Linked DNA regions of Struthio camelus. The protein of the gene in region 1 interacts with the protein of each later gene in a pairwise test. Links are inferred from orthologs where the notes say so. Each region holds a gene or a part of one and is shown on either strand. Other genes may lie near its edges.

The links. The genes of interacting proteins can lie anywhere in the genome.
Region 2: the proteins of CCND3 (region 1) and RBL2 interact in a two-hybrid assay, tested with the Homo sapiens proteins (2 studies listed by BioGRID). The link is inferred for Struthio camelus from reciprocal best matches to the Homo sapiens genes CCND3 and RBL2.

Annotation. Positions count from the first base shown.
Region 1 is NC_090965.1:6,406,243-6,414,300, reverse strand, and holds the start of CCND3 (G1/S-specific cyclin-D3), read left to right. Parts: upstream 1-5,033; 5' UTR 5,034-5,152; coding exon 5,153-5,350; intron 5,351-7,378; coding exon 7,379-7,594; intron 7,595-8,058. UniProt on the Homo sapiens protein: Regulatory component of the cyclin D3-CDK4 (DC) complex that phosphorylates and inhibits members of the retinoblastoma (RB) protein family including RB1 and regulates the cell-cycle during G(1)/S transition.
Region 2 is NC_090951.1:18,704,381-18,711,390, forward strand, and holds the start of RBL2 (retinoblastoma-like protein 2), read left to right. Parts: upstream 1-3,971; coding exon 3,972-4,181; intron 4,182-5,261; coding exon 5,262-5,392; intron 5,393-6,664; coding exon 6,665-6,865; intron 6,866-7,010. UniProt on the Homo sapiens protein: Key regulator of entry into cell division. Directly involved in heterochromatin formation by maintaining overall chromatin structure and, in particular, that of constitutive heterochromatin by stabilizing histone methylation.

The sequences.
Region 1 (8,058 bases):
CATCGTTTGCTAAGTCCTTATGTATAAATATTTCTCTTGCCTCCATTCACACCTTTTTCCAATCACTTTTTCATTCTGTTTTGCAAGCTACTTAAGCGAAGAGCTCCTCTACATCCAACTATTGCTTTCCTTTAATAATCTTAGTTATGAGGCTAGTATTATTAAACTGATATATATCCCAGGAGCAGGCATGCTCAGATATAAAAGGGCTGGATACAGCATAAACTCAAGCAGTATCAACAGTCACACTTTTATTTTGCTTTAAACAGACAATTGGTCCAAGCTGTACCAAGAGTCCCTCTAAATAATCATATTTTTGCGTTAATAGGAAAGCTGTGTTTTGACCTTTGAAGCAGCACGCTTTCTTCTTCAGAAGGCTCATATGTATCATAACTGGATACATCTAAGCGTTGCTGAGATCCAGTGTTCAGATGATATCACTCTGAACTAATTAATTGTATTCAAAAGTCTGCCCAAGTCAGAGGAAAGGGAATGCTGTGGTTGCCAGTAATAGGAAAGCTATTAGGAAACACATCCCCTGGGTCAAATCCTCCAATGCTGAACTTGCAGTCAACCAAACTTCCCTTCAAGTCAGTGGAAGTACTTTTCTAAGTAAAGAATGAATAAGATATGAAGAAGGAGAGCGAGCCAGCAATGGAGGGAGACAGTTGTCTTGTGTTTAAACATGGGAGCAGGACCAGGAAATCCTGGACTCCCCTGTCCACTGAACCAGGGAATGACTGAATGAGTCTGGGAAGATGACTTAACTCCTTGTGCCTGTGGCCTCTGATTCATGGGCAACTAAAGCAGATGTCTGCGACGGGCTGACGTGCTGTCTCCCTGCAGCCATCTGCCCTGCTGCTGCAGTGCAGCAGATGAGGGTGTATGCTCCACAGCCTGACCTGCTAATACCAGCCTGTCTTTATCAGCAGTTTATGTGTGTATGGCCGACCGTAAGCTGAGCCACCTCCTTCTAAAGGGGCAAGGACTTCTGGCAATCGCAGACAGCGACACCAAACTGCCACCGCATGATTTGCTGCCCTTGTACGCCAGAGCCCTTATTCTTTCCTGCTGGGAATGGTTGCAATATCCCTCCACTTTAGGGGAAACTGGATGTGAAATCTAACAGATTAAGATTTGTGAAGTACTTTGAAATCCTAAAATAGCAAGGGTGAAGTACTGCCTTCGCTCTTTCTCTCACATGCACAAAATGGTACCTGTTTTTCATTTTATTTTGGGGATTTCCTGCAGCAAATTATGTAGTTATTTGCTCATTGGATTTGGTTTTCAGGTCCTTGATGTATGTTAAGCAGTTTCATTTTGATGTCACTGATGATGCTGTAGTTGCAGTATGACCAAGGAAGAAGATGGCTTAGCTCATGGTAGATCAAAATCGGATGAAACACAGCTATAAAATATATGAAATCAGAAAGCAGCGTAGAGAAGATACTGATCCTTTGTTGACATCCTCTAGGGCCAGGCCCACTGCTGATGCAAAGTGACATTGCCAGCTGAAACCCTTCTTCAGAGAAGAGCTTACAGAAATGGCCCTGTTGAATAACCAGCCTGATAAATGGCTTTAACCTTGATCCAAGCCTAAGTGTGATACCAGCTGACCATCAGCTGAGAATCAGACCTGCATCTACAGTGCTCCTTTAAAAGCTCCAGCTGCTGGTGACTCTCTTTAATTCATTATCATCATACCAAAAAAATGAGCCCCTTTATGATTCAGCAAAGAATAACATTGCTGGTCTGAGATCCTGGAAGCCTAGAAACCATCAGTTTTTTTTATTTTTACTCTGAAGGAATTTCCTTTTTTAATATTGCTGTGCTGTCTACTGCCAAAGCCAGGAAGTTGACTATCTATGGACAACAGTGACCAAAATTTGGTTTTCCTGGAATTTTCTCTTTTCCCTCCGCACACCCACACAATAGGCTTTTCAGGATGCCTGCAGTCTGTAATTTGCCTTTCTAGCCTGATAATGTGGCTTGCAGAAGCACCAGTTTTGCCAAGTCATCATCTGGAAGGAACACTTTCTTATGCAACAGGCTTCATCTTCCCCCCTCCGTGTCCTATGGCCCATGGTTGCCACCAAGGCCGGCTTCAGCCGAACCACCGTGCCAACACTGGGAAATGGGAGAAAGACCATGAAGTCTGGAATAGGGCCTGAAACTTTCAATTTCAAAAGGCACAGCCCAGAAAACAGAGGGATCAAGAACCCAGCGCTGTGGTTTCCCTTTGCCTGATTAAAGAAAATAGCTGCTGTCTATTTTTACTATAAATGTGGGACATGAGGTCCTTTGCTTTCCTTGTACAAAAGGGGGGATGCTGCTCACAATGAAAGAGTGAAGGAGTGGAGCACAAGAGGTCATCCCAGATTAAAACCAGCTGCCTGGTCCACAGAAATCTCTTCCATAGATTCTTCAATTTTTTTCTTTCAAGACAGGGACAGGATTGATCTCTTCCTTTTCCTATAGGTCATTATCACCATGCTGTCTGGTATTCCCAGTGCATTCACCACAACAAATCAATGATGATGCTATCATTAAGAATACGTAGCTAGAACATGTCTCCCCAGCCAATATTCTAGCTGATTAAAGAAAGACCAGGAGAGGGAAAGACATCTAACGGGCAATGAACTATATACCTTGCAGAAAATGAAAGCCATCTGTACAAGCGTAGAAAGAGGATTCTAGTGTGTGAAATCTACTGAGTGTGTTATATATGTGACCTTTGCGTCCACTGCCATGAGTAGTATTTTGAACTTCTAAACCTCTGATCAAAAAGATTTTTTCGTTTGCAAAAAAACACCACCTGAACACAGAGAACAAAGACTTCAGTCTTGTTTTGCTTGATTATTAACTATGTATGTTTGTTCTTGATTAAAAGACTGTGTTTTTAGATGACTGAAAATACTAAAAAGTACCAAACGTGTCGAAATGGCATACACAGAAGTAACTTATATGGCAGATGACTCAGTCGCTAACTCCTTTGGGTCTTTGTTCCTTAACTCAAAATGGATATACGTGTATATACTGAGGAGTACTCCAGCAGAACTCATCAGAGATGTTCCAGTTGCGTCCCCTTTATATGACACTGCATCCCCAAAGTCCTCAATTTCTACAAATTCCTCAATTTTTACAAATTCCATTTCTCCATTCCGTTCTGAACATGAATATTCTCCCCTACGATTCCAGACGGGGATTGCTGCTATGAGTTGAATTTCGGCTTATCTCAGTCTGAGTCCCTTTATCATTCCGCAGTACACCCAGAATGGTCTTTGCCCAGTAACACGGCACTATTAAATGGAATATACTGCCCTGAGCAAAGGAGTGTTACAGGAGTGTATGTACTACTGAGATGCTTCATTTCAGATGATAAGGCAGTCAAAACTTGCAGGGAATAATGGAAAGCAGCAGAGTGAGAGAAGTAGATAATCTAGAAGGTATTTCTCACCTTGAACATTTATGATTGTAATTAATCATTTGCTTCCACTGCTGCTGCAATTGCCATAGTACAGCACCATCCCAGTGACGGATGGTCAGAGGGTTATATGGGCCAGTCACCTCATTCAGACACATTCCTTTTCACAACCTGTATGAACTTTCGTAAAAACAGACCTCCTGAGCTAAAGTTTCCTAGTATGTTTTCAATTCAATGGGGAATTTTTAAATGTGCAAACTTGAAGGCGATCCATTATCCTGGTCTTCCAATTATAGAATCTGTTGTACATTTTATAGACTGTTTTCTGGCTCTTCCTGGTCTTCTGCTGATAAAAAGCAACTGTAAGTCTTCACATCTGACACACAAGCAATCCAGAAAGTAGGAGTGATTCCATGCTCTGCTTGGAAAATAAAATATTTTGAAAAGAAGACATTAGGAAGTTTGGGGGCATGTAAGAAGTACCCTCAAGGATATTCAAAGGAGACAAGTCTGACTGAACTGAGTTGCCTAGGAAAGTCAGAACATCCCAATTTCTGTAGCCAGTAACACAAGAGAGAGCCATGCGGCCGGAATTATATTCAGTTGCCTCTAATCTCCATACCCAAAAGCAATTAGAGCAAGTAGACGTGGGCTCAGGTACCAGTCCAGAGCAAATCCTAAGCATGTACTTCTGGACCTGCAGGGAGCCACCTCAGTCCCACTGGCACCACTCTCCTTACCTGGCATCACAGAGCCAATTCTTAGTTATCGTGTCCATTAGAGCAGTACCTAGCGTTCCCATTTGAGATGCCTACTATGCTGTGGAAGTCACAGTACAAAGTTATTTGAAAGTCTGTGTTTTCCCTGAAAAATAGGAAGCGTAAACAGCTGCTCAGTACACAATTTGAAAAGGCTAGTATTTCCAAACTATTGTTAATTATTTGAAAAAGCAGCAATGCCTGACAACCCTTATCTCTGCAGACACTGAGGTTGCTATCTTCTGTGGAGCCGCACCAGTGACAGCACGAGGGTAACTTCTGGAAGCAAGCAGGCTCAGTAGGGACCTGCTTGGGGTATGCACACAGCAGATTATGTTCATAGCCTTGAAGGATTCTGGACATAAAACAAAACAAAACAAACTATAGAACTAAATAATGAAGTTGTAAAGAAGAGGTAGATGAAGATGGAAACCTTCCAGTCAGTTCCAGGACTGTCCCGTTCGGACGGGGTGGCCGTGCCCTGGGCACACAGCTGGCTCTTCTGACAGCTCGGCACCGCCTTAGGCACATGGGAGCGCCCTGAGAATAAAGGGGGTGAAAGAAGGGGTCGATGGGGGATTGCTGAGAGACGGGGCGATACCGGGGGGGGGCGGCCGGAGCCAGCCCCCCCGCGCCGCTTCCTCCACCATGGCAGCGCCCCCCCCCCCCGGCCGCCCCCACGTGCTGGCGGCGCGCCGGCGCGCCGGCTCGGGGGCGGGGCGGCCGCCCGCGTCCGGCAAGGGCGCTCCAGGGCGGCGCGCGGATTGGCGGGAGGCGGCGCGGGCCCCGCCCCCTCGGAGCGCGGCGCTGCAGTGCGGGCGGCGGGTCCCGCCCCTTCGGAGCGCGGCGACTTCCCGGCGCCCCGCAGCCGCGCAGCCGAGCCGGCGGGCGGGCTGGCTGGCTGGCTCCGCGCTGCCCGCCGCCTCGCCTCCGGCCCCGCTCCCCCGCCCCCGCCGCGGGCTCCGGGCCCATGGAGCTGCTCTGCGTGGAAGGGATCCCCCGTGTGCCCAGGGCCGAGCGGGACCCGCAGCTCCTGGGGGACCGGCGGGTGCTGCAGAACCTGCTGAGCCAGGAGGAGCGTTACAGTCCCCACGCTTCCTACTTCCACTGCGTGCAGAAGGAGATCAAGCCCCACATGCGGAAGATGCTGGCTTTTTGGATGCTCGAGGTACGGCACCCTCCCCCCCCACCCCAGCCGGGTCCCGGCTTCTTTCTCCTCTCCCGCCTCAAAATCTAGCTCTGTGTCCGGCCACCGGCTCTTTTTCTTGCCCTTTCGTCCCTGCTGCTAGTGTGAGCTATGCTGCTCCGGCAGGAGAGAGCTGGTGGCGGCGTGCTGTAAAGGAAGGGAGGGGTGACCGTCCCACGTTCACTTGGGGGGGAGGGAGCTTTCAGTGGGGTTACTTCATACAGGGGGCAAGGGACAATCCAGGGAAGAGGTCTTGGCGGCAGGAGAGCCTCTGGGATGCGTGTGTGCCGGAGGTCAGGGCTGTGGGATTTGGGGGGGGGGGGTCCTGGAGGTGGCTGCGGGGAGGCAATCTGCAGTGGGGTCTTGCTGATGCGAGGGTTGGTTGGGCCAGAAGATGTGATTCCCCCTGTGGGAGGAGCAGCCCCCCTTTAGCCCAGCAGCCTGTGTTCACCCCCCCTCCCCCCCCCAGCAATGTGCTGCCACACCATTGTTGGCTCCTCTGTTCCCACCCTGCTCTCCAAAATTTCTGGCTAGAGCGCTCTGCTGTGCACCAGAGAGTCCAGAGACTTGAGTTTCCTGAATGGGGCTGGGAGCGCTTGCTTAAAGGGGGAAAATAACATCGCTACCATTTACTTCCCTAAGTTAAAAATGAATGCAGCTCTCTGTGGGAAACAGCCCAGTGGGGGAAATCTCATGGGCCTCTTTCTGAAACGGTCAGGGTGAGCGGTCTCAATAGAAAAAAGAAATAACAGATCCTGCAGAGGACAAATGATGTTCCAATTGAGCCTGGCTCCTGCTCTCCACCCCAGCAGCTGTCGCAAGCTGCCTGATCTGTCAAAAGAAGTAATAGAGCAACTTGCTTTTTTTAAAGGTTTTTCCCTCTTATCGTTGGTCTCTTTCTGCAGTTCGCTTTCTGAGGAGGTTAGTTAGATAAGTGTTGCTTTAGAGCCTGTTCCTTGTGAAGCTCTAAAGGCAGTCTAAAAGTGAATGATACTAAGCAGTTGTCATGATTGGGCACAAAGCAAAATTGGAGGCTTGTGCTATTTAGTCGCAGCTCTGGGGCCGTATGTTTGACCCGTTAAAATCAGGCCAAATTCACCTTGAACTGTAAGACACTAGAACTTGCACCTGAAATTGACTTGTCTTTCTCTTTAAAAACTGTGGAAGAAAGGAAAATGCACAAAACAACTGCCTTGCCCTGAGGGGTTTGTTCTCTTTTTAGAAAAAGTCTCTGTCCTAGGGTTTACAGCAGTCTGTGTAAGGGAAAGGCAGAGTAACTGTTTGAAAGAGAATGGTGCTGTTTGCTGCTGTATGAGGAGAAACTCCAATATTTTTATGGTTGCATTGAAAGAAGGAAGTAAATATGACCAGGGCTTTGATACTGGTTGAGAGATTAGAACAGGGGACTGAAATGGAGAACTCCTGGATTCTGTTTATGGCTGTGGTACAGGTGTGGTTGAGAAAGAGGAGGGGGAAGAAAGACTTCTGGGCTCAGCCACGGACTCTGCCATTGATTCTTCTTGTGTCTCTGGGCCACTTGAGGTGGAATTGTCAGAAGTGACTATGGCTCCTGCATGATTAGGTCTCCAGCTGGAGACATGCTGGAAATGATAATTTTCCTTAGAGGTCCTGAGTGCCCACAGAGCAGAAAATGCACAGCTTTGCTGGTTGTCTACCTGTAGACATCCCCAACAGGGGAAAATAAAAACAGGGGCAAGTAAAAGCAATTTTGGTCTTAGCTTGTCTGTGTGTTCTAACTGCATACCACTCTTGCAGCTTTCCACAGGAAAACAAAGTCTTAAGACACTGGTCAAATTTTCTTCTAGTGTAATTCTGTTCAAGTCTAAGATTTGCACCTGCAGCTGGTTTACACCTTAGCATGGAGGTGATACATCAAAGCCCTTCAGAAATGTGTGAAACACCATCATGACCAGAAGCTTTGAAGTTGTGGTGCAGGCAGGATCCGGGGCGCCGATTAAAACTTCCTCTTTTGTTATTGGATTTTGTCAGGTGTGTGAGGAGCAGAAGTGCGAAGAAGAGGTCTTCCCCTTGGCCATGAATTATGTGGATCGCTACCTGTCTTCAGTGCCCATGCGAAAAAGTCACTTGCAGCTTCTGGGAGCTGTCTGCATGCTCCTGGCTTCCAAGCTGCGTGAGACCATGCCCCTGACAGTGGAGAAACTCTGCATTTACACAGACAACTCCATCACACCTCAGCAGCTCCTGGTAACCACCCCTGTCTCAGAGCCCTCCGTCCCCTCCCCAGCTCTTATCTTCTACATGCTGCTACTTGGCAACGTACCTGTGTTTGTATCTCCTCTGTTTCCTTTCTCTTGTTTCTCCAAACGCCTTCCACCATGTTCCCCAACCAACCTTGCTTCCTTCCCGGTGGATGTTGCTGCCTGTCATTGGAGACCACCTCATCCTGCGCAGGCCCTCGCTCCCTGGGCTGGGAAGCAGCAGCGTCGCCTCCAAGTTAGCGAGAGAGTTCCCTGCGCCTTTTAAGTGCCCGTTCCCAGCACGGAGCTGCCACGCTGGGCTCGCTCCCATGCGCTGGTTCGCTCTCGAGTGACAGCTCAGGAGAACAAAGGCCCCTGTCTGCACAGCCGGCCGAGCACGCGGCAGGGGGCTGGGGCTGCCGGCCAGCGCCTCTGCCTTGCCCCCGCTGCCGAGGACTCTGTTTCTAGGCA
Region 2 (7,010 bases), on another chromosome or scaffold:
AATCCTCTGTTTTTAACTAATGATTTATAATATGAAGAGTTTTTTTGTTAAAAGATACAACAAGGACTTCTGATGGATGAGCCTCTCTAAAGGTAAGTTTCAATTAACATTTTCCTGAGGAAGAATATGTGTTTTAGTTGCACATTGTCAATATTTTAAACACAAACATGTATGAGCAGGATTGCTACTAGTCAGCATAGGCTATTACTTACAGCAGCATCTTGTTGAGAACAGCAAAAATGAGACTATCTCAGCTGTTTCAGTTCACTTCCTGGTGTATTAGTGAAAATCCACTTAACGAGCAGCTTGTGCTAATTGAGCAGACTGTGATCTCAGGTGACTGGAAGATGAACAGGTTTTGTGGGTGTGTTTTTTTTTTTTTTTAGCTGCTATTGCTAGGAGGTGTGCAACTTTTAGCAGAAGGGAGCGGCGCACAGCTGGGTATTTTCAAAGCCTTGGTTTAAGGGTGGCAATTTTTTCTTTTATGAAGCAATGAAAAGCCCTTCTACCAGTAACCTGTCTGCCACTGTATTTGTTTACAGTAGAAACGCTCATGTACTTCTCTCTGTAGAAAGGCTTGCTGAAGTTTAAATATTCTGTGATTATGCAAGACAAGGACAAACGATAAATAAGATAAAAACATTTTGAGGGAGGACAAATTTTGCAAGTTGGAGTGTGTTGTGTGGTTTGGGTGTTTTTTTTTTTTTTTTTTTTTTTTAAGGGGATGCTTTGGACAAGGCAAACCCTTTTGGCCAGATTACTTGCACTGTCAGAAAAGTCAGGCAGGAAACAACTGAAGGGGTGGTTTTGTAGGGGGCCGGGTGAGAATGCTGGAGGACATTACACTTCAGGTTGCCTGCCCTGTTTTTGTAAAATAAAGCGCCCTCCTCCCCCCCCACCCCCCCAGCCGAGTAGAAGTTAGCTTTGTTGCCTTCTTGGCTTTTTGGGAGGAGGTCCTTGCAGAGATACCCATCCTGGTACAAGTAACATGTTTCTGCTTACACATTTGAAAAGGAAGAGATCAGAACAGATGATCTAGCCTATTAACTTCATTGTTTAATTAGGTAATATCTGAGAATTGTAAATGAAAACTTTTTTTTTTTGTTTAGAAGAAGAAAATCTTATTTAGCCTCTAGTAGTGATGCTAAAGCCTTGAAAATGTTGACAATATACACAGAGGAAGGGTGCTGAAATGCATTTTAACTCCAGTGGAGCGAATAAATTACATAATTTACTATTGCTGAAGATCCAGCCCGCCTGAAATGATGAACAATATTTTGTTTGTTTTATTTCAATTTTGGACCCAGTATTTTAGGAAGAATGCCCACTGAGAAAGAAATATAAAGATTAAGAAAAATTTACACAAAATAAGGTAGGCTGAAGTCTTGAGACTGAGAAGTATGTGTAAGTTGAGTATCTCCATTCAGAATTTTTATGTCCTCAAAATACTTTGACTTACACAACTTTAGGTTCAATTTAGAGTGTTGTATACTGTAATGCAAAGTAAAAGTTAGCTAACATTCAGATTTCTTTTTGAAAAATGTCCTGTTTAAAATTAATCCCTGTAGTATGTCTCTACAAAGAATTGGGGATGTTTTAAAATAAGACAGATGGAGCTTATGAGGGTTTTTGGTTTTGTTTTTGTTTTTTTTTTTGACCCTGCCTCCCTTTTGAGTTCCCACAGCAAGTAAATCACCGCACAAGAAGTGAGACAAGTACCAGTCAGAAGATCCCACCATAAGCCATAAGATCTTTCAGCAAAATGAGGGTTTGTTCTCTTACCTTTTGTCCCATTCAATCCTGAACAAGAGCTAAGAGTGCAAAATTCTCATTTGTGTTCTAGGGAGCTAATGCTGAGCCTCGCCCTTTTACTGTCACTTCTGCATGTAAGGGAGGTTGCTTTGGGTAATTCTTTGGATCCTAGTGCCAGACATAGTACTGGAATCTCTTTTCACCAAAGCTCACTAAAACTGACAGTATGTCCTCAAGCTGTCTCCAGTTCTGAGAAGTGAACAGCTTTTGATCTGGTAGCTGCTGCTGCGTCAGCTCCTCCACGTCATGCTGTGTTTGATCTCGGTTGTGCTTCTCAGCTAAAACAGGTGGTTGGAGCTCAGCCCTTTGCTCCTGCAAGGGAGTTTCTAACTCCTAGTCCTAGGAAACATAAATATACACTGCTTTCTTTTGTAATGCAGCAGCAATTTTAAGCTGGGTAAATGCAAACTCCAAGTGTCTGTTTATTCATAATGATGGGCATCATATTCTGGGTGCTGTCCTGACTGTCCAGTAAAGGCTGCCTGTCAGACCCAAAGAAGTTTTTTGCCAGTGTTCGGAAAGCTCTGCTTCTAGTTTTGGTCCTAAATGAAGTTGTTTTGGGGAGCAATTCTGCTCCCTCTGGTATCTCAGATTGTTCCTTTTCTGCTTTTTAGTGCAATGAATGTTTCTCAGAGACATGAGGGGAAGAAACATGCTCCTTTTTAAATGGAAGCTGAAATCTTCCTGTGATCATTGGTCTCCATCAGCTGAGGCTTAAAGGAAAATACTGAACTTTGCAAGGTTCCTGATGAAGTTCTGCAAATTGGTGACACAGTATCAGAAGTAGCAGAAGCCTGGCTGGGAAAAGACCCTGGGAAGAATCCTGGAAAAAGGTTTCCGTGATGCATGTTGTTTCTCCCTACACAAATCTTTCCAAGAGTTGGTCATCCTGCACCAGCAAAGTTTGACTGGTATGTAATCTGGGAGTCTGCCTTATTCTCTGGAGGTGGACAACATTAGCCACAATTTCAAGTATTTCCTTTCACAGAGGACATATTCAGTATTTTGGGTTACTACAGTGAGGGCCTGTGCCACCGCTCTGCAGCTGTTTGGCTTCAAGATTTGCTACCCATTCATTGCTTGTGTTTTGTAAGGAGACTGCGGTTTCTCACTGGAGGAACCAGTAAACAGAAGTCCTGTGGGATGAAAAAAGATTTCAGTGCCTTTCTAAAACATCTGAAAATGTTTCTTATGTAAAATTTCAATAGGCCATTAAATTAAAAGTGGCCTTATTTTAAAAGTTTACTTGAATGGTCTCATTTAGAAATCTTACATCACTTACAAAACGCGGTTGCTTAAAAACGGGAGGAGGTATGCCAGTATAACCACAGCATCGTCACCTTATCCCTAACCTAGATTTTGCTTATCTTTTAATATTTTGGGATTTTATTATTTAGATGAAAAAAAGTGATTTTGAAAGAGTAGATTAGTATGTATCCCAATAGAACGCAGAATACTGTGACAAATTATAGTTGCTTCTTTAGAAGAACAGTGTAAATGGCGGTTGGCATAGGCCCTAACGGACCACCAGCCGGCGCTGCCCCTCCAGGCCTCGCCCTAGCCCCTGTTTTCTGGCGCCACCTGGTGCTTTCAGAGCGGACTGCAACCGTGCGTCCCCGCCCGGGCGAACGCTTCAGGGTTACGCCAATCCCGCGGCCGTTTCCCCCCGAGGCTCCCGCTGCTGTTGGCGGTGAAGCAGCCGTCGTGCGGAGCCCGGGGCCGCAGCGGAGCGCCTCCGCCATGCTCCCTCCCCCGCCCTCTTCCGCCGCCGCCTAACCTTGTCCCTCCGCAGCCGCCGCCGCCGCCGGAAGTGACCTCGCGCGCTCCGACGCGGTGGCGTCACGAAGAGCACGGTGCTTCCCCGCTGCATGCTGGGAGCGGGAGGAGGAGGAGGGCGGGAGGGGGCTGCCGCGCGGCATTGCGGGAGGGGAAGTCTGTGGCGTCGCCGGGGCGCGCCTGCGCGCACCGGGAGCGCGGATAGGTTGGGCGCCCGCAAGCCGTCCAATGGGAGGGCGAGGCGCGGCGGAGGGCGGGAGCGGGGCCCAGCGCCGGGGCGTTTGGATTCGAACGCGCGTCGCCAGCCGGCGGGGCGGCGGCGCAGGCGCAGTGGGCGGCGCGGCGGGGCGGGGCGGCGCTGCCCCCTAGCGCCGGGGCGGGGGATGCCGGGCGAGGAGGAGGACGAGGCCGAGGCGGCGGGCGGGGGCGGCCCCCCCCACCCCGCCGCCGCCGCCGCCCCGTCCCCGCCGGCCGAGGAGGGCGACACGCGGCAGCGCTACGAGGAGCTCTGCAGCAGCCTCAACATGGACGAGCGCGCCCGCTCCGAGGCCTGGCTCAGCTACCAGAGCATGAAGCGCAACTACACGCTGGAGGTGAGGGGGCGGCGGCCCTCGCGGCGCCCCTCCCCCCGCGGCCGTTGGAAAACGAACCCGGGGCTCGCGAGCGCCGGACAGCGGCTGGGAGCCGGCGCGGGGCCGCGCCGGGACACGGTGTGGGGAGGGGGGGTTGTTTTATTAACGGAAAAGCAAACGCTGATGGCGAGCCGTGCTGGAGTTACGTAACTCTCGCGCGAGCAAGCGGAGGGGTTAGCGTTAGCACCTCGGCTGGTACTAACTGCAGTCCCGGAGCTGCTCAGCACCGCCAAGGGCCCCGGGGCGCGGGGGTCCTGCGGCCGAGGCAGGGCAGGTTTCGCTCGCCTTGGCGGCCGTTTGCCCTGCGGTGCCGGGCGCTGCGCGCACCTGCCCCAGGGAGGAAGCGGCCCGGCCGCAGCGCACCTCTGCCCCGCTGCTCTTGATCGTCGGCTGCTGAGAAGCTCGGAAGGGGCGGCCTCTCGGGGGGTCTGCGCACGCTTGTGCCCGCGGTAGCAGGCGGCCCGGGAAACCGCAGCCGTCGCCGCCTTCTCTGCCCCCTTCCTGTCGTTCGCCTCCCCTTTAAACGTTGCAGTTTAGTCAAAGAGGCATAGTTACGGTTGGAATTAATTTCCGTCTTTAGGAATCGCATCGAGTAGTTATTAAGCCGCATAACAGAAAAACGGAAACTGTCTTTTCCTATTCCCCTGTTGCGTCCAGGGAAGAAGGTTTTGATAGTGAGCAACTGCTGCGATTGTAACGCCGAGGCAGCGCAGGAGACGAGCAGTGCTGAAAAGAAAGCATGCTGTTAAACTTCGGCTCGCTGTGAAACTTATTAACGTAACTTGTAGTTGATACGTTTCTGTTTTGACGTAATTCAGTGTTAGCATCTGCTTTTCTTATCGTTCCGGCTTCTTAGATGGTCCTGTCTAGCAGTACCGTTAAATAGAGCTTTGAGGTAATGCATCACTCTGCTGTTGCTTGAACATTGTTAGCGGAGAGTGTAATCAGTTTTATTCTTTTTCTTCGTGCTGGGTGCATAGCTGAAGAGTGTGTTTTTCGTTTTGATCGAGTCTTTTCGATGCCTGATGTTTCATTTCACAGGGAAACGATCTGCATTGGCTAGCGTGTGCCTTGTATGTGGCTTGCAGAAAAGCAATTCCAACTGTGAGCAGAGGGACAGTTGAGGGGAATTATGTGTCCTTAACCCGAATTTTGCGCTGTTCAGAACAAAGGTAACTTTTTTTTTTTGCTGGTTTTTGGAATTTTTAAAATCTTAATCGCTGTGTATCGACTTGAAAAATTTAGAAATTGAGAGGAAAGACTGAACATCATTCTTGTTTCCTGCTTTTATATGTAGAATTTATACAATCAGAATGTTTGTGCTATAGCTCATTGCCACAGATGTGGGATAGCTTCGTTTGGGCATTAGTACCTAGCAAAAACACTGATTTTTTCAAATTCAGAGATTGCCCTCCCACTCTCAAAGGGAGGCAGAAACCAACTTCTGGTTTTGAAGAAGGTGCAGCAGGTGAGCTTGCCTGTTCAAAAGCCTAACGTCTGCATGCGTGTTCTGCTTAGAACAAGGTCTAATACACTAACATCAGAAAGCATTTTTTAATTGACTGTGCAGACATTCACACGTTTTCGGTTTTGTGGAAGAAGACTTCACTTTTCATGCGTTCTTACTTTACGAAGAGAAAGTGATATCAGAATCTGATAAACACATTTTTATCAAATGTTTATTTCTGTAAAGTCATGAAGAAAAACTTCATGAAATAATTGACTTTATGTATCAGCAGTATGGTGGTTTTATAACAATTACATGGACTGGCAAATAAATGAGCATTAGTTATGCACTTTCTCTCCCATTCTCGTTTTCTGTTGGATATATTTAAACAAAGCAAAGGAGTTTCTTTAAAAAAGCTTTTTCAAATCAGAAATGCAGGGAGCTGAATATGGGCTGTAAAAGACTAACAACATTGAAAAAGTAGGTGTACAAAAAACAGTGCAAAAATTAATGAAAGTTGAATTTATGAAATGAAATTTATTGAAACACATATAAAAATGTTTTACTCGCTTTTTTTTTTCATACTTTTAGAGGTATTCTTAGCGTTGAAGAGATCGGAGTTTGTTTTTATTTAAGCAGATGAGTTATTCAGAAAAATGAGAAAAACTTGATTTTATAGTAATCTGAATACTGGAGTTGATTGCACTTGTGTGAGGAAAAACCAATAAAGAACTGTAAATACATATAGTTAACACGATCATCAACAGATACCGAAATATTTTTCGAGTTGTCTGAGCACGGTCTTGTTTGGATGAAGGACTGGCTTTGAGTACGTCGAACTATAGTTATTGTCATGCTTGTTTGCAACGCTGCCATTTTATCAGTAGTTTAGGAAGTAAACTATTTCCTAAAATTGTACTTTTAAATTTTATTTACTTACATCAAAATATCTTTCTCCAGAAATTAACTCTCAGTTTCAACCTGTTCGATATTTCAGCTTGATTGAGTTTTTTAACAAGATGAAGAAATGGGAAGACATGGCAAATCTACCCTCCCAATTCAGAGAACGAACTGAGAGACTGGAGAGAAACTTTACAGTTTCTGCTGTAATCTTTAAGAAGTATGAGCCCATTTTTCAGGATATTTTCAGGTATCCTCAAGAAGATCAGCCTCGTCAACAGAGAGGAAGGAAACAGAGGTAGTTTTCTGTTATTTTCGGACTTAATTTAGAGCATTGCTACTACTAAGATGCAATGAAGTTGCTTAGTTACTTTATTTTTAGCTGCGTTTCCATGGGAGTTCTTTATGGTATCAGAGGTAGTCTGTTTGTCTTTGCTCCCCAA